Rattus norvegicus: one gene and its partners. The protein of the gene in region 1 interacts with the protein of each later gene in a pairwise test. Links are inferred from orthologs where the notes say so. Each region holds a gene or a part of one and is shown in the gene's direction. Other genes may lie near its edges.

Region 1 (5,760 bases):
AGTTGCAGTAGAGTTGATGTTTTTGAGATTTCCATCCTCAGGGCCTAGGGATGCAGCCCAGTTGGTAGAACACCTTCAATATCATTTTAAAAAATTACATTTAAGGGGGTCCTGTTGGTGCTGCTCTGTAACCTCAGCTACTCTGAAGACTGAGGCAAGAAGATGATGTGGTCTAGGCCTACCAGGCTACCAAGTGTTGTCCAAATCAGCCTCAGCAACTTAGCTGGACCCTGTTCCCAAATGAAAAATAAACTCCCAGTCGTTTCTGTTAGTAGTAGTGTATGCAAAGGGGCTAGGTTCAATCTGCAGTCCTGGGACAGGGAGGCAAATATGCCTATTAGAACAAATACCAATGACATTAGAAATGGCTGCATAAGATAAAACATTCAGGGGATCGGGATATAGATGAGCATCTAAGAACTAACTTTGAATATGATGTACACTTTATAATAATAAGGGAAAGTTACGAATAGCATACAGAAGATAAGATTAACCTACCTGAAAATAGCCACGATTAGCATTTTATCAAGTTTTTAGCTTTTTATTTTAACTATATAACTTGCCTTTTTGGGGACTGAGAGAGGACTCAGAGGTTAAGAGCACTGACTGCTCTTCCTGAGGACCCAGGTTTAATTCCCAGCACCCACATGGCAGCTCACAACTGTCCCTAACTCCAATTCCAGGCGATCAAACACACACAGATTCACATACAGACAAAACACCAATACATATAAATTTATTGTTAAGATTTATTTATATGAGTATAGACACACCAGAAGAGGGCATCGGATCCCATCACAGATGGTTGTGGGCCACCATGTGGTTGCTGGGAAGTGAAGTGATGACCTCCAAAAGAGCAGTCAGTGCTCTTAACTGCTGAGGCATCTCTCCAGTCCTGCACATAAACTGTTTTTTAGAAAAAGAATCCTCTTCATTTGCCATTTTCTGTGTTCTCCCACACCACCCGGTTGTCTTGTCTTTTCCTTTAAAAAGCTTGAACTAATGTCCTCATATTAAAATCTTTCAGCCTTTTCTGCATAAAATAGAGCTAGCTTTTCAGGGTTGGGGATTTAGCAAGTGCAAGGCCCTGGGTTCGGTCCTCAGCTCTGGAAAAAAAAAATACAGCTTTTCAGTTAAAGATTTACTTTTACTAGACATGTATTAGTACATTTTCTACTGAAATATAGCCAGACATGGTGGTCTATGCCTAGAGGTCACCCTGGGCAGCATTGCAAGACCCTGTTTCAAAACAAAACAAAAAGTAGTCAGAAGTAGTGACTCACACATTCAGGGAGGCTATGAGTTTAGGGCCAGCTTGAGCCACAAAGTAAGACACCTGAGCCTTCTGAACTATAGAATGAGACCCTGTCATGAACAAAAAAGTACATTTTTAATACACATATGTGTGTGTGTGTGTTTGTGTAGTGTATTGTGTTGATATGTGATTTTTTTTGAGTATTTTCTTCATAGAATTGGAACGCTATTCCACTTTGTCATTAGAATAGGCAATAAGTGTATGATTTATAAGTTGTAGCTGATTTATAAATTGTAGATTCCCCCCCCCCCCCCCCCGGAGCTGGGGACCGAACCCAGGGCCTTGCGCTTGCTAGGCAAGCGCTCTACCACTGAGCTAAATCCCCAACCCCAAATCTTCAAATTTTTATAGGTAGAAAGTGTCTGATGTAAATGCTATCGAGCTGTTTCACCTTTCAGATATGCTTTTCACCAGCTCGAGACACGTTATTTGGGTCTTTTCCTAATTTAAAAAGCGCTAGATAGAAATTTTTCTTGTTGCTTACATTTTTGAAATAGGGTCTCATATGGCGGAGGCTGGCCTTGAATGTACTAATGTATGGCTGGGACTGTCCTTAGCCGATTCTACACCTCCTAAGTGTGGGTTGCAGGGGTGTGGCCCCAGCCCGGGCTGGTTGGGTTTTGTTTTGATCTGGAGAAATGACTTCGTTGGTTTAGTCTTTGCCTGAGTACAAGACATGTTGAGTTTGATTCTCCAGCGCTGTGGTCTCAGGCTTGCCTGTAATCCCAGCATTGGGAAGTGGAGGCAGAGCTACATGAAATCCTTTCTCAGTGTAAGAGAAAGGGGAAGGTGGATTGTTAGAAGAAGTCAGTAATACTTCGAACCTAAATCTTAAGTCACAGAGACAAATTAAAGAAAGAAGTTACAACATACTGAGCCATATTAGCCATAAGGAAATGTTCGTAGATTGAGTGCTTTCTTTAGATGCTAATGTGTGTTAGCATATAGAATGTTCTTCCTCCTACTTCTCAGAACTCCCATTGTCTTGTCTTCTGAGGCAGAAAGAGAGAGGCTAGAATCAGTTTTAAGGAGAAGTCTTCCTCCTCCTCTTCCTCCTCCTGCCTTCCTTCCAGGGAAAGGAGACTTACCAGCTTGGTAAGATTTGAAAGTTAATTTAAAACTGGATTCCTTTTCTGTTCTTAATTATATTTAATTTTTCTTTAATGTTTAGCAGTTAGTAAACATTCCAGGAGCTGCGCACTTGACTTGACCTTACAAGTTGAGCAGTCAGTGAAGTAATGTCAGAAGCAGTTTCCATGGGCCCACTGGTCCAGCTGCTTGCCCTCCCTTAGCTTGAGTGCTCTCTTCAAATACTAATGCCTGGAGTACCTGCTTCTCTGTCAGAGTGTCATCAGTGAAGGAAACCCTTACACCCCACACAGAGCAACCCAGATTAGGCACAAACCCCTGTTTTCACAGAGATATCTTGGTGGCAGCTTTAGGAGTGCAATCTGGTGGTTTTTAGCAGGGCAGAGGGAATGGGGGAGAAGGCAAGGCTGCCAGAGCCATGTTTGCTTCACTCGAGCTGGCCGGCTCTCGGATTCTAGGAACTATCGTGCCACCTTGGGGCTGCTGGCCTTTATGTTGCTCAGATTGATGAGGCGAGCAAGAGCAGTCTCTGACCTCACCACTGTTACCATTGCCTGACCTCAGTCCCCTGCACCACTGCCATGATGGGTACTTTGTAAATAGCAAGCACCTGGTCCAGCTTGGCTTCCATTGGAGTGAAATAAACCAAGTTCCACAACAGATGGGATCACCCCTGGTTACTTTTTTCTAGGAACACAGACAGACCTATGGGAACACTCGGGAGCCTCTCTTGGAAAACCTGACGAGTGAATATGACTTAGATCTTTTCCGAAGAGCACAAGCCCGGGCTTCTGAGGATTTGGTGAGTACCAAAATCCCCACAGTGAGTGGAGGACCATGTGAAAAGCCCTTCGAACTGCCAAGAAAGGTGAAAACAAGTATGATGAGATATCTCGGCTGTCTTTAGAGGTTGTCTTCTCTTTTTTTTTTTTTAAGATTTATTTATTCATTTATTATATATAAGTACACTGTAGCTGTCTTCAGACACACCAGAAGAGAGCATCAGATCCCATTACAGATGGTTGTGAGCCACCATGTGGTTGCTGGGAATTGAACTCAGGACCTCGGGAAGAGCAGTCGGGTGCTCTTAACCACTGAGCCATCTCTCCAGCCCACTCGTCTTCTCTTTACGTAGAGAACGCACCCCCTGCTCACCCTTCCCTCCTGTGTCTCCCTTAACTGGAAGATCCAGTTTGCTTGAGGTTGGGGCCGGGGTGCTTAAAACTTATTTTGTAGGTGCCTTTTATATCTACTAGGTGAAATGTACAGTCTGGGAACCTAGGACTTCGGTGTATAGCACCGTCCTCTTTATAGGGTTTCTTTCCATTTCATCCATTTACCCTAAAAGCATGTAAATAACAGCAAAGAAAAATGGGGAAGGCCAGATATGTTGTTGAATTTGTTGATTTTTTTGATAAGGAGATCTTATCTTGTTGCCCAAGCAAGTTTGAGACTTCTGGGCTCATTGGTACGTGAGATATCTAGGCAGAAGTGCTCCTTTTGTTTGCATTTGATACAGTACCTGTGGCTGGCCTAGAAAACGTTGTAGAAACTGATTTTACTTATGATAAAACAAATTAAATGTGCTCAGGGAAATTGAGTTTGTAGTGTTAATTTCATTTCCTTCCCTTCTTTTTAAAAACATTTATTTTTACTCACTTTATATCCCGTTCATTGCCCCCTTCCCCATCACCCCTTTCATCATCCTTCTCTCCTCCCCCTCCTTCCTTTTATTATGAGTTGCAAGAGGCAGGTTTGGTGGCTGCTCTGGTCTGGGATTGGTCGCCACCTCCTGCTCTTCCTTTCCATCATGAAGATCATTGCCTCAGGCCAGCCAGGTCCTACTTCTCCAGCTGGTTACTGCAAACAGTAATTGCCTGTTGTGCACCTGGAATCCAAGCCCTAGTCAGGGAGGAGGACCAGGAGGATAGCCGCAGAGGTCAAACCTGAATAGCCTCGAGATCTGTAGGAGGAGAGAACTGACTCCCCACAAGCTGCTCTGATCTCTACTTGTCTTTACATACACACACAATAACCAAACATTAAAAATAAAAACAAACAGAAGTGGGCTGGGACTATAGCTTTTTTGGTAGTGTACTTATCTGGGATCCAGGATACCCTGGGTTCCATCTCCAACACCACATAAATCTGCTGTGGTGGCACGAACCTGTGGCCACATTATCTGGAAATGAAGGGAGCCAATTCAGGAGTTCAAGGTCATCCCCATTATATCCTCATTTGAGGTTCGGTTAAAACACAAAAACGTTTTTTCTTTTAAAGATAGCTGGGCAGTATAGCTGGCCCATTTTCTATGAACGTGCCTTATTTATTTATTTATTTATTTATTTATTTATTTATTTATTTATTTTTATGCTCAAGTAACACATTAGTAGCCATCTATGGACAGAGGCCAAATCTAGCTAAGTCTTTTTATACCTTAGTTGCTGGCCTGGTAGAAATTGTTAAGAATAAGGGTAATAGAGGCTGGAGATAGCTCAGCAGTTAAGAGCATTTGCTGTTTTTGCAAAGAAAACACATTGAGTTCCCAGCACCCATATGGTGGCTCACAGCTACCTATAACTTCAGTTTGGGACGTCTGATGCCCTTTTCTGACATGTGCAGGCATGCGTGTGAGGTATAAACACATGCACACATGCATGCATGTTTATGCACAAACAAAACATACATTATTGTGTAGATAAAAATCTAATTTTAAAACCAAAGATAAGGATTTATTTGTTTTGGTTTCTTCTTGTCAATAGGAGAAGTTAAGGCTTCAAGGCCAAATCACAGAGGGAAGCAACATGATTAAAACAATTGCTTTTGGCCGCTACGAGCTGGATACTTGGTACCATTCTCCCTATCCTGAAGAATATGCACGACTGGGACGTCTCTACATGTGTGAATTCTGCTTAAAATACATGAAGAGCCAAACGATTCTCCGCCGACACATGGTGTGTTTTCTTGTTCACATCACGAGGGGATGTTACATGGTTTCCCAGTTATGTTCCAGAGATAGCATAAGTGTCCAAAAAGTGACATTTCCCAAGTGTCCACAGCAATAGGGTGGAGACTTAAGGAACTGAAAGTCACATTTCTGGGTAACCCTTTGCCCGGACCAGTGCTGCATAGCATCTTAACTACACCCTGTCCATAAACGTCTTTTCTTCTTGTTTTTTGTCTTTTGTTGTTTCTTCAGCACATTAATTACCTCTCCCTACAGTTTGTGTTTGTACCAAACTTAATGAAACGCATATATTCTGTTAGATAGAACAGGACACTGTGGCTCATATGTTAGATGGCAACTGTCTGTCTTGGGTGAATACATTTTATAAGAGATTTCCATCTTTAACAGA
Region 2 (5,760 bases), on another chromosome or scaffold:
CTTGCTCGCTCCAGGACTCCAAGTGTAGCTCTGAGTGTTTGCCACCACCACCCCGAGCTCCTTGTCTCGGGTCAGCTCCTCCAGTCCAGGAAGGAAGAACATGCAGAGGGCAGAGTGACACTCCCGGTGGGACTGTGCATTGTGTGCTCTGTTGTAGGCACCTAGAGCAGGAGTACAGGGGAAGGCTGAGCCTCCTGCGGTCCGAGGTGGAGATGGAGCGGGAGCTGTTCTGGGAGCAAGCCCGCAGGCAGAGAGCCGTGCTGGAGCAGGATGTGGGCCGCCTCCAGGCTGAGGAGACCAGTCTGCGTGAGAAACTGACACTGGCTCTCAAGGTAGGTGGGATGCGTCCCTGCTGTACACTGGGAAGGCGCATATTGGCAGAGCAGGGTGATGTCATGCTCTCACTCAAAGTAGGAGGTCTTGGCTTTGCTCCATTCTCCTCTATCCTAAGTCATATGATCTCAAAATCAGAGTGAATCAGCTACCGCAGCCAGTATGGCTGCATCCCTAGGGTCAAGGAACACCTCTAGACACTGCCTGCCATGACCTGGATTCATAGCCACAACTTTTAGGGTTTGGGTGAGTGTCCCTGCCTTGTACCTACCCTGCTTTTGGCTCCCCAAAGCCATCTTAGCTGTGTGGACAGCCAAGCTCCAGAAGCACTTGCCTGTGTGCCTTCTTTCTGTTCTGCTCCCAGCTTCTTCTTTCCTAATGCCTAAGGGCCTCTGGCCTTTTCCCCACCTCCCTGGCTCCTGCAGCCCCTGCCCAATGTGGTAAGAGTATCTGGACATAACTCACATCACCCACTGATGTGATGGTACTCTCTTGACCCTTCTCAGCACAGCACTTTTCTTCCAACACCCTATGCTGGACCTCTGAGCCATTTTGATACAACTTTAAACCTATCACTTTAAAAGCAGCTTAAGGGGCTGGGGATTTAGCTCAGTGGTAGAGCGCTTACCTAGGAAGCGCAAGGCCCTGGGTTCGGTCCCCAGCTCCGAAAAAAAAGAACCAAAAAAAAAAAAAAAAAAGCAGCTTAAACACGACGCCTTACCAGCCCTTTCTTCCTTCCCCCATGAACGTTCTGAACATGGGAGTGGGAGCAGAGAAAGGGAAGATGGTGGGCAGACAGTCACCTCAGTGGTGTTAGGTTTGTCGTAAGAGATCGGGTTCTAACAGCGCACCCTGCCTGCTTGGTGAGGCAGCAGGCAGCCACACGTTCGCTCTCGGGGCTTTTCCTGAAAAAGCTGCTGTATGGTGGGAACAAGCCTCTGCCATACAAAGAAGTGATGTAGAGACTTGTCAGCATCTTTCTCTGTGTCCTGAACCCAGCCCATACCCACCTGTCTCCTAGGAAAACAGTCGATTGCAGAAGGAGATCATAGAAGTGGTGGAAAAGCTTTCGGATTCCGAGAAGCTGGTTCTCCGCCTGCAGAGTGACCTCCAGTTTGTGCTGAAGGACAAGGCAAGCCTTTTCTACTCACAGCAGTTTCTGTGGTCAGGGCATCATGGCCTGTCTTCCAGGAAACCTGACATGCTGGTATGCACATGTTTCTCTCTTTCAGCTGGAGCCTCAGAGCATGGAACTCCTGGCCCAGGAAGAGCAGTTCACAGCCATCTTGAATGATTATGAGCTTAAGTGCAGGGTGCGTGTCTTCCCCTGAGTCTGCTTACCCATCTCGAGCACCCCTGAGTCCTATTCCTACAGCCTGCCCTACAGCAGTGGCAGGAAGGGGTGGGCCTGCTACACAGAACCAACACCTGGCTCAAGACCCCAGTGGCCACGTGAGGCCTCATCTCTTTCCCATCTTCTCCTTGGTCGTCAAGTGCAGGATGCCCCATAAGTGATTGCAAGAGCTTCTTTTCCAGCAAGAACTTCTTATTTTAGTCTTTGGTCAGCCATACATGGGCATTGCATGACTAGTCAAATCCCAAGACAGAAAGTGTTCCCCGACTGTACTTCCAAATGAATCCTCCTAAAGAAATTTCAGTGTACGAAGATCAGAAAGGAAAATCAGAGTTGAAATGACCCGCTTCTAATAAGAAAAAGACCTTTGAATTACTGAAGATCTGCCACAAATCCTTATTAGTCAGCTCTTGGTTAGGCTTAATTTACCAAAAGTTAATTGGTGTAAAACTTACCAGAGGCACTATTTACAAAGAGCGGCACATATGTGGTTGACTTTAGACACTGTAGAAACCCTTGCCCTTGAAGGTAGATATGCAATAGTGTGCTGTCTCTGCAAATGCAACAGCCGATGCAGGAGAAATGCTTGCACCCAGGAGCTGAAGGTCAACCTAAAAGCAAGTAAATGCCTATAATCCCTGATCTTGGGAGGAGAGGCCTGAGGATTAGGAGCTCAGGGCCATTTATCTCTTGACTATACAGCCAGTTGGAAGGCAACCTGGGCTGCCTGAGACCTCGTCTCCAAAAACCCCCAATCCAAAACCTACAACAAAACAAACACGGCAGTCTGAAAAAATATTGTAAGCTTAGCTTAAAAACAAACAAGCAACAACCAAATCATGAGAGCCCACAGGCCCACCCTCTTGCTCCTTTAGATTGCAGGTATCAAGGGGACTGAAACAGTAGCTGCTGCTTATGTTAATTTAATAGAAAATGTCATAGTCTTGGAATAACACTCGTGATTCTAGGATCACCTACAGAGGCTGCACTGCCAAGTGACCAAGGATAAGTAATATGGGTTCTCAGGTAATGGGCACTTAAAATTTTACATGAAGTCGTAGCTCATTAGTCGACCCCCATACATAGCATGCCTAAGTCCTAGGTCTGGTCTTGAAAGCAAAAATAAAACAAACCCATTCAATAAGGAACCCCACTGACAGAAAATCTCAGGGTGTCAGTAGCATTACTGTTCAGTCAGTTAATTTCTCTGTTTTTACGACAATAATAAAAATGTGACAAACACAATAATTTATAGCTATCTTGACATTTCTAAAGGACAGGGGGAGCAGACAGCTGAATTCAGTTGCATCTGATACTTTACAGCTATGCTGACTGTAAGGCTTTGCTTTAAGTCAACTCATGCTGAAAATCTGTAGCTACTATTGAGAATACCAAGAGAGGCATTGTTATGATACCGAGAGTTATAAAGTAACCTTACATGATATGAAAATTGGTCCTACATTGCAGAAGGCTGTAGAATCAGTCAGAAAACACACTCCGAAATGGAACTGCTACTGTTTGCGTGTGTCCTTGGCGTCTTTCCCTGTGATCTGTCGTAGGCTTCATCCAGGCGGAGTACCCTACACGCTGAGTAGATGAATATCCTTGAAAGACAGTGGCCATGCGTGTTTTTAGGGAGCAACCTCAGAACTGGGGACATGAGCCAGGCAGGGCTGACTGACTGTTCTCGTACTTCTCAGGATTTTCCAGGACTATGCCGGAAGTTTCTTTTCTTGTCCTTTTGATGAGCAAGTGGCTGAGCCTTCTCATCCATACACATTTCACTGAAGTCCAGAGGAGACTCTTGTCACAAATGCAGACTCTTCGTCCTCACCAGAGGGAGATCTGGAGATCTGGGAGAGACATCTCCCAGTCCAGTCTCCTATTGCCCAGCAGACTGTACTCCATCAGGCCTCTGTTTCCCAGATAATACCTTTTCTCTCTGCTAAGGGCATCACTGCTCTGTAGCATTTAATCTAAAGCAAATGGCCTAACAACTATAGAACTCCATGCCAATTCCACAGCGACTGGGGGGAGGAACAAACACAGCCCCAGAGATGTCCCAAGATGTCAGTGCCCATGCGTGCAGCACACCACTACTTGATATAGCAGCACCTGTTGAGAATTTTCCTCATAGCCTCAGCTTTCCTTTTGTGCTTGAACTCCTTTTATATATCCAGTGACATAAGCATGAGTGTCGAGAAATGGTTTCCCTAGCTCCGCCAGGACCTAGGTAGTTAGAGTCTTAGGTGCAGATTTAATGTACATGCCGGAAGTCCAGAACCCACACCTGCCTGATGTCTAGTCTGTAGTGGATGCTTACTACAGAGTGGGGCTGATCTTGGGTTTGGCCTCCCAAGGCTGAGTGGCTGCAGCAGCTGGAGGAGGTTATCTGTCTCTGCCCACACAGGACCTACAGGACCGCAATGATGAGTTGCAAGCAGAGCTAGAGGGCCTGCGGGTGCGGCTGCCCAGGAGTCGACAGAGCCCCTCAGGGACCCCAGGCACCCATAGAAGGTGGACCCCTGGACGTGGCCCAGCAGGTAGGAGCTCAGTCTGGAGGCTAAGTTGAGAGTGGGGCTCCAGGGCATGACCACAAGGCTGGACATGTGGCACCCCAGAGGAAAAGATGAGAGCAGGACGGAAAATGTTTGTAGAAATCACGAAGGTTATAATTCCTTGACTCCAAAGGAGGCAAATTTGCCTGAGGGGCATGTTTCCACGTTGGAGCCTATGAGGTCACAGGCAACTTTGTGACAGTGCTGGACTTGGGAGGTCATATAGCATGGTGGGCATAGGACATTCCCAGTTGAGGGAATCCTGGCCGCTGGGTTCAGTGGAAAACACACTTCAGGCTCTTCTGCTCTCGGACAGTGGGGTCAAGACGAGGGCCCATGTTTAAGTGTTCTTGGTCTTTTTTAGAGGCCAAGGCCGCTGTTGTGGAGGTGGCACAGTTCTTGTGGAGGACGGGGGTACTTAGGTGGTCTCTGCCTTCTTACTGGTTGTACCAGGCAGTCACTCCAGCTCTGCTGTCTTCAGCAGTAGCAGGTGACACTCTTGACCCCATGGAATTCAGCAGCCCTCCCCAGTTACATAGTGGCAGCCTAAGCCCCTCAGTGTGGTTCTCCAACCTCAGAGCACTTGAGCCTCCATGCATCCTACAGCTGTTTATGGTGGAAAGACAAAAACACAAACAAACAAACAAAAAAGATATACTCTTAGGCTCTCCATGAGGAACTTTACCTTTGTGAGGTCTAGATGGCTGCCAGAATCCCCAGGGAGTCTCAGGAAGAAATAGAGAGTGGCCTTGGCATACCCCTATTAGAGGGGGGAGTTAAGGGAGGGGAAGAAGGTGTGGGGTGCAGTCCCTTGTTGTGCAGTTCAGCCCAGAGCCCAGCCTAGCCAGAAGGTAGAGCGTGATGGTTGCTCCTCTGGTGTCAGTAGGAGCCTGAGTTGCACAGAGCATGTGGCCTTGGTCAGGAGTGCAGGGATAGAGCATTGTGGAGCTGTTCACATTTTCCTCTGCACCCATCAGAGCCCTCACAGAGCCAGGATTTCCCAGACTGGCCTTAGGTGACTACACTGTGTATGTCAGTGTGTGCTGTAAAAACAAGTCACATAGAATCACCCAGAAAACACAAGAGGAAGACTGAATAAATGAGCCGGTGCATACATCTGAACATGTTCAAAAGTGTGGAGACTTGGGCACGAAGCTCTACACAGAAGGGAGCCTACGGAACTGTTGTCATTCTCTCTTGTCTCCCCATTTCCTCTGTGTTCTGGCATCATTTGAAGCCAGATTTTAAATGCAGTAAATATACCATCTGGTGAGGATCTTTCAGAGAGTTAAGGGACCTGATGAATCTAGTGGGAACCTCCTGGTTCTCTCTTAGTAACCAGTGATACAGTAAAGACTTGAACCTTGCTGGAGAGTGGTTTAGATCTTTTTTTTTTTTTTTCTTCTCTTTTTTTTGGAGCTGGGGACCAAACCCAGGGCCTTGCGCTTGCTAGGCAAGCGCTCTACCACTGAGCTAAATCCCCAACCCGAGTGGTTTAGATCTTAAGAGCATTTA
Region 3 (5,760 bases), on another chromosome or scaffold:
AGGAGACTTGGTCTGGCCTGTGTGCATCCTGCCTTTATTAGGACAACCTTGCTTTCAGGCCCATCACTCTGACTGTAGCCAAGTGCTGGGACCCAAGTCCTCGTGGCTGCTTCACATTACCCCGGAGTAAGTAGACAAGGGATCATCCGTAAAGTTGGTGTTGGCTGTATAAACCATGCTCCTCTCTTCTCCTTACATGTTAGACACTGTAATAGGCAGGGTGGGCAGCCTGTGATGACCCATCTTCCCTGCAGGTGAGCCCATCCGTCCCATTGACCCTGCAGCCTGGGTCTCCCACACTGCAGCCATGACAGGAACCTTCCCTGCCTATGGCATGAGCCCCTCCTTAAGCACCATCACCTCCACCAGCTCCTCCATCACCAGCTCCATCCCCGACACAGAACGTGAGTATTCAAGTCTGTCCCTTGGGCCACCCAGCAGACGGGCCAGGTGGGAGGATTGGTGGAGGGACCCACTGTGCATCGGGGGGAGCCTTCGAGGGGACACCGTAGCTCTTCCCCAGAGGGCACGCAGAGCCTCACTGAACACTGTTTGCTTCTTAACATACCATGAGCACCCACGGAGCCTCAGTTTCCTCTCATACAATGGGGCTACTAGTATATGCTTCCCAGGTTCCTGTGGGGTTCGATGAGAGGTTCTAACTAGAGCCTTGGTACTGCGTGACATGAGGGAGCACCAGTTTACTGTCATCCCATGTGCATGTGCTTAGGCTCCTCTGTCACATGTCCTTGTGAAGACACTAATCATTCATTTTTACAGGAGGGGAGACTGTCCAAGGAGTTGGTGGTGGGCTTGTCATTGTTGAGTGGGAGAGCTGAGATGCCACTCCTGTTTTCCTAACTCCACAGTGCCTCTTTGTCTCACTGCTCTGCCCCTTCCCCCAGGCCTAGATGATTTCCACCTCTCCATCCACAGTGACATGGCGGCCATCGTAAAAGCCATGGCCTCCCCCGAGTCAGGGCTGGAGGTCCGAGACCGCATGTGGCTCAAGATTACCATTCCCAATGCTTTCATCGGTGAGAGCCTTACTGCAAGATGAAGGACAGGTTGTGGAGACAGGGGCAGGGCAGGGTGGGGACCCGGGCTCTTCCTCGCCTACCTTTGGGTTGTTAACCGCCCTGGCATCATAGCTTCTGTGAGCTAGAGGAACCCAAATCAACTGGCAGCCTTGTCCCCAGGCTCAGATGTGGTGGACTGGCTGTATCACAATGTGGAAGGATTCACCGACCGGCGGGAGGCCCGCAAGTACGCTAGCAACCTGCTGAAGGCTGGATTCATCCGCCACACGGTCAACAAGATCACGTTCTCTGAGCAGTGCTACTACATCTTTGGTGACCTCTGTGGCAGTACGTGTCTTCCCACCACCCTCCCCCTTTATGAGACAGGGCCATGCGACATAAATCATGCTGACCTAATAGCTGCTGTGTAGTCAGCTTGACTTGAATTTGCAGGAATCCCCCTGCCTCAGCCTCCTGAGTAATGGGAATATAAGTGAATGCTACCACCCCAGAATCCCCCACCTTCTCGTCTCCTGGATGGAAGTAAGGAGGTGCTCTGTGATAGGATGGCTGACTCCAGGAAGCCTAACTCCAAGCTCTGACTTGGGGTCTGGCTCAAAGCGCAAAGGCCCACAGTACAAGCAGAGCCTGATGGAGCCTCTTCACTGCCCTCCCATCTCCCTGTGGAGCCTGCCACTAAGTGCCTGTTCTATGCTTGACATGGTGCCAGTGGTTTCTGAGCTGTCATCCTACCATCCCACTCAGCCTTCACCTCCTAGTGGGGTGGGGGTGGGTATCTCCATGTTATCAAATGAAGAAATCAATTTATTGGTGTAAAACAGTCTACGCTAGGTCTCACAGTTAGAAACAAAGGAGATAGGCTTTGGTTCCAGCTCTTCTGACTCTAGTTCACACTGTTCTGGGCTTCTCAAGGGACACAGTGCTCCAAAACACATGGTCTCAGCAAGGATATGGACTGGCAAGGGAGTCCTGGTCTTTCTAAGAGCCCTGGGAGTAAACTGTACCGTGGTGTGAAGCTGGAGAAACTGTCAGTAGCAGAGGACTTTACGAGACTTCATCCTGAGCCACTGAGCATAATCTAAGGAGACCCTTCCTTCTCTTTAGCCTACAGAGGCCCTCACACAGGCATTGCTGTTCGTGCCAGCAGCTGAGTCCTAGCCCAGCCGCCGCCCCTGCCCACACAGCTGTTACACCTGTGGTGCTGGCTGACACCCAGGACTGATCAGATGCTTCTGGGACCCGGTGGCTGGCACTGCAGAGCAGCGTCTCTCGGTAGAGGTTGGGGCTCCTGGCCTCGGCAACTCTTACAGAGGTGTGATAGGATTTTTGGACTCAGATAGTTCTTTTTTTTTTTTTTTTTTTTTTTTTGGTTCTTTTTTTTCCGGAGCTGGGGACCGAACCCAGGGCTTTGCGCTTCCTAGGCAAGCGCTCTACCGCTGAGCTAAATCCCCAACCCCAAGGACTCAGATAGTTCTTACTCTACTGTTACTGTGATCACAGTAGGTGTGTTAGCTTCTAAGTTCGAGACGGAAGTAAGCTAGAACTCATCCCATGGAGATGTCTTAAGCATAACATAATGTATGTACACCCATTTAGAATAGTGTGTGACCCACAAGAAGTGCTCCATAAAAGCTGCCTGCCATTCATTATTTAACTGATTATAAGATGCACTTCTATTTTCACATCCCATTCTCTGAAATTGGGTATATTTTCCATTAATAGTTTAGTAGACTCAGAGAAATTGGTTATTTTTGTCATTGTTAGCAGACATCAGCCCAGGGCCCTAGACATCTTGGAATATACAAAGCTTCCAAGACAGCCATAGCAGTTTTGCTCAAAAGATGTTTATTCTTGGGCCTAGCTGGGTCCCTCACCTAGGCCACCCAAGAGTTGGCTCAGGGTGTGCTGACAGAAAAACCTTTTCCTTCTTTGAGGTCATAGTCTGCAGCATGGGGAATGTGGCAGGCTCAATGAGGAACTATGTGCTCACTATGGAGTTTATTGTTGGTTCTCTGGACAGCACCTTATAGGCTAAAGACATCAGCAGGCCTTTGAGTGTGAGCCAATACAGGACACTGCTTTCCTTCATTGCCTGTGGCTGCCAAGTCAGAGGCTTGGCTATCCGGCTCCATAAGCAATTTCAGAGCCTCATACCCTGGCTTCTTCCTGCAGAGCTGGCTGGATCACCTTGGGCTTGGAGGTAGATCTCATGGTGTAGGTGGCCTCTACAGGGCAATTATAGCTTTCTTAGAATTGAGGTGCACGTGAGCAGGTCCTCGGCAGGTAATCAGCCCTAGTAGCCTATTTTACTCCCTGCATGGAAGCTCCAGCTCTTGAGAGGACTGCTTACCTTTAGGAAGTACACAGTTTCAAGGATGGAAGAAACCCATGAAGTAATGCCTAGAGTCAGGGCACAGTGGAGGCATTTGAGTTGTTCTTTCTGGCCCTTCCACCCCATCTCCACTCTCCACAATAGCAAATGTGACCAGGGCAAGAGCCTTCTATAGAGGAGGCCCTAAAAAACCATTGTATTTATTTAGGATTCTGCCTCTCTTTTAATTTCCCCTCCCCTACTGCTGTGTAGTCTGAGTTGGCGGACTTCCCAGTCCTGCAGGAATGTCAGATGCACACGAACACACAGGCCATTCTGGACCTCCTCTTCCTCCTCCTCCTCCTCCTCCTCCTCTTCCTCCTCCTCTTCCTCCTCCTCTTCCTCTTCTTCCTCCTCTTCCTCCTCCTCCTCCTCCTCTTCTTCTTCTTCCTCCTCCTCTCCCCCCTTTTCCTCCTCCTCTCCCTCTTTTTCTTTTGAAACAGACCCTTTACTACATGGGGTCTGGCTTTCCTAGAACTCACTATGTAGCCCAAGGTAGCCTTGAATTCTCAGGCCTACCTCTGCCTCCTGAGTGTTGGGATTAAAGGCATAAGCTACCACACCCAGCTCATTCTGAACTTTTACTTTTTAAGATTTATTTAATTTTTGCGTATGAGTCTTGCCTGCGTGTACCTCTGAGCACCATGTGCATGCAGTGCCCAGAAAGGCCACTGTGCCATGGGACTGGAGTTACAGATGGCTGTGAGCCATTTATGCTGCTAGGAATCAAACCCAGATCTTCTGCAAGAGCAACACGCGCTCTTAGTTCCTAAACTGTCTCTCTACCCTCATTCTGGGCTTTTAATAAGTGTTATTATTATCATTCCTATTATTTAGGAGGAGCAAGAGGAGGGAGGGCAAAGGCTCACTGAGTTTCCCCAAACATCCCCCTCATAATTACCTGAAAGGCAGGAGTGTGAGCACCTCAGCTTCTGCTCTGCCTGCAGCTCTGCTCTCCTCTCTGGACTTTTGTTCCTTGCCTGGAGAAGCGGTTATTACCTCTTTTGGGGGTCGCTGGATACTGTGCTTACGAGTCATGGTACAACCCCTGGTGGCTTCTAGTACTTCAGCCTTCTACATTCCCCAACTCAGTTCCTCTCAACCAAAGAAAAAGTGGCAAAATAAGAAGTGAGAGGTGGGGGTTGGGGATTTAGCTCAGTGGTAGAGCGCTTGACTAGCAAGCCCAAGGCCCTGGGTTCCATCCCCAGCTCTGAAAAAAAAAAAAAAGAAAGAAAGAAAGAAAGAAAGAAAAAAAAAAGTGAGAGGTGGGGTGGGTAGAGTAAATCTTGTTTAGTTTTTGCTGTTTTTGTTTCATTTGGGAGTCTTTTTTGTTGCTGTTGTTTTGTTTTTGAGACTGTGTTAATGGAGCCTAGCCTGGCTTCAGACTTACTATGTAGTCTAGGTTGGACTTGAACCCGTGTCAGGAAACTTTGAAGGTCTTGGAGATTAGATGTGGGGATTGGCTGTACAGCTATTGAGAGAGGCCAGTGGCCAAAGAGATCTGCAGGCCTCCGGTTCTGGCCGTAAACTTTAACACTGTTGCCTGTGGTGCCTTCTGCTGGAGACCTGATTGTAGGTGTGGAACCACAATAGACCAGCTTACCTGAGTCCTCTTCCCACAGACATGGCCAACCTATCGCTGCACGACCATGATGGCTCCAGTGGTGCCTCTGACCAGGACACACTGGCTCCTCTGCCGCACCCAGGGGCTGCCCCTTGGCCTATGGCTTTCCCTTACCAGTACCCACCACCTCCGCACCCGTACAACCCACACCCAGGCTTCCCGGAGCTGGGCTACAGCTACGCTGGGGGCAGCGCCAGCAGTCAGCACAGTGAAGGTAGGTCAGAGAGACCCAGCTGGAAGGATCTGTAGGGAGCCCCGGCCACCTCTGCACCTCCATCCTGGGCCTGTTTTTTTTTTTTTCTACAGGTAGTAGGAGCAGTGGCTCCAACCGAAGTGGCAGCGACCGGCGCAAGGAGAAGGACCCAAAAGCTGGGGACTCAAAGTCAGGTGGTAGCGGCAGCGAGTCAGACCACACTACACGCAGCAGTCTGCGGGGGCCACGGGAGCGGGCACCAAGCGAGCGCTCAGGCCCAGCGGCCAGCGAGCACAGCCACCGCAGTCATCATTCACTGACCAGTAGCCTGCGCAGCCACCACACACACCCAAGCTATGGCCCACCCGGAGTGCCCCCTCTCTATGGTCCCCCGATGCTGATGATGACCCCACCGCCTGCAGCCATGGGGCCCCCAGGAGCCCCTCCAGGGCGTGACCTGGCCTCGGTGCCCCCGGAACTGACGGCCAGCAGACAGTCCTTCCGCATGGCAATGGGAAACCCCAGTGAGTTC

What was found.
Region 2: the proteins of Kat7 (region 1) and Ninl interact in a two-hybrid assay, tested with the Homo sapiens proteins (2 studies listed by BioGRID and IntAct). The two-hybrid records come from large-scale screens. The link is inferred for Rattus norvegicus from reciprocal best matches to the Homo sapiens genes KAT7 and NINL.
Region 3: the proteins of Kat7 (region 1) and Dvl3 interact in a two-hybrid assay, tested with the Homo sapiens proteins (2 studies listed by BioGRID and IntAct). The two-hybrid records come from large-scale screens. The link is inferred for Rattus norvegicus from reciprocal best matches to the Homo sapiens genes KAT7 and DVL3.

The regions. Positions count from the first base shown.
Region 1 is NC_086028.1:80,726,837-80,732,596, reverse strand, and holds part of Kat7 (histone acetyltransferase KAT7), read left to right. Parts: intron 1-3,095; coding exon 3,096-3,206; intron 3,207-5,166; coding exon 5,167-5,358; intron 5,359-5,760. UniProt on the Homo sapiens protein: Catalytic subunit of histone acetyltransferase HBO1 complexes, which specifically mediate acetylation of histone H3 at 'Lys-14' (H3K14ac), thereby regulating various processes, such as gene transcription, protein ubiquitination, immune regulation, stem cell pluripotent and self-renewal maintenance and embryonic development.
Region 2 is NC_086021.1:160,225,326-160,231,085, reverse strand, and holds part of Ninl (ninein-like protein), read left to right. Parts: intron 1-157; coding exon 158-332; intron 333-1,354; coding exon 1,355-1,465; intron 1,466-1,565; coding exon 1,566-1,646; intron 1,647-4,097; coding exon 4,098-4,230; intron 4,231-5,760. UniProt on the Homo sapiens protein: Involved in the microtubule organization in interphase cells. Overexpression induces the fragmentation of the Golgi, and causes lysosomes to disperse toward the cell periphery; it also interferes with mitotic spindle assembly.
Region 3 is NC_086029.1:93,872,152-93,877,911, reverse strand, and holds part of Dvl3 (segment polarity protein dishevelled homolog DVL-3), read left to right. Parts: intron 1-58; coding exon 59-126; intron 127-254; coding exon 255-404; intron 405-905; coding exon 906-1,037; intron 1,038-1,199; coding exon 1,200-1,367; intron 1,368-5,033; coding exon 5,034-5,249; coding exon of another isoform or gene 5,250-5,253; intron 5,254-5,341; coding exon 5,342-5,760. UniProt on the Homo sapiens protein: Involved in the signal transduction pathway mediated by multiple Wnt genes.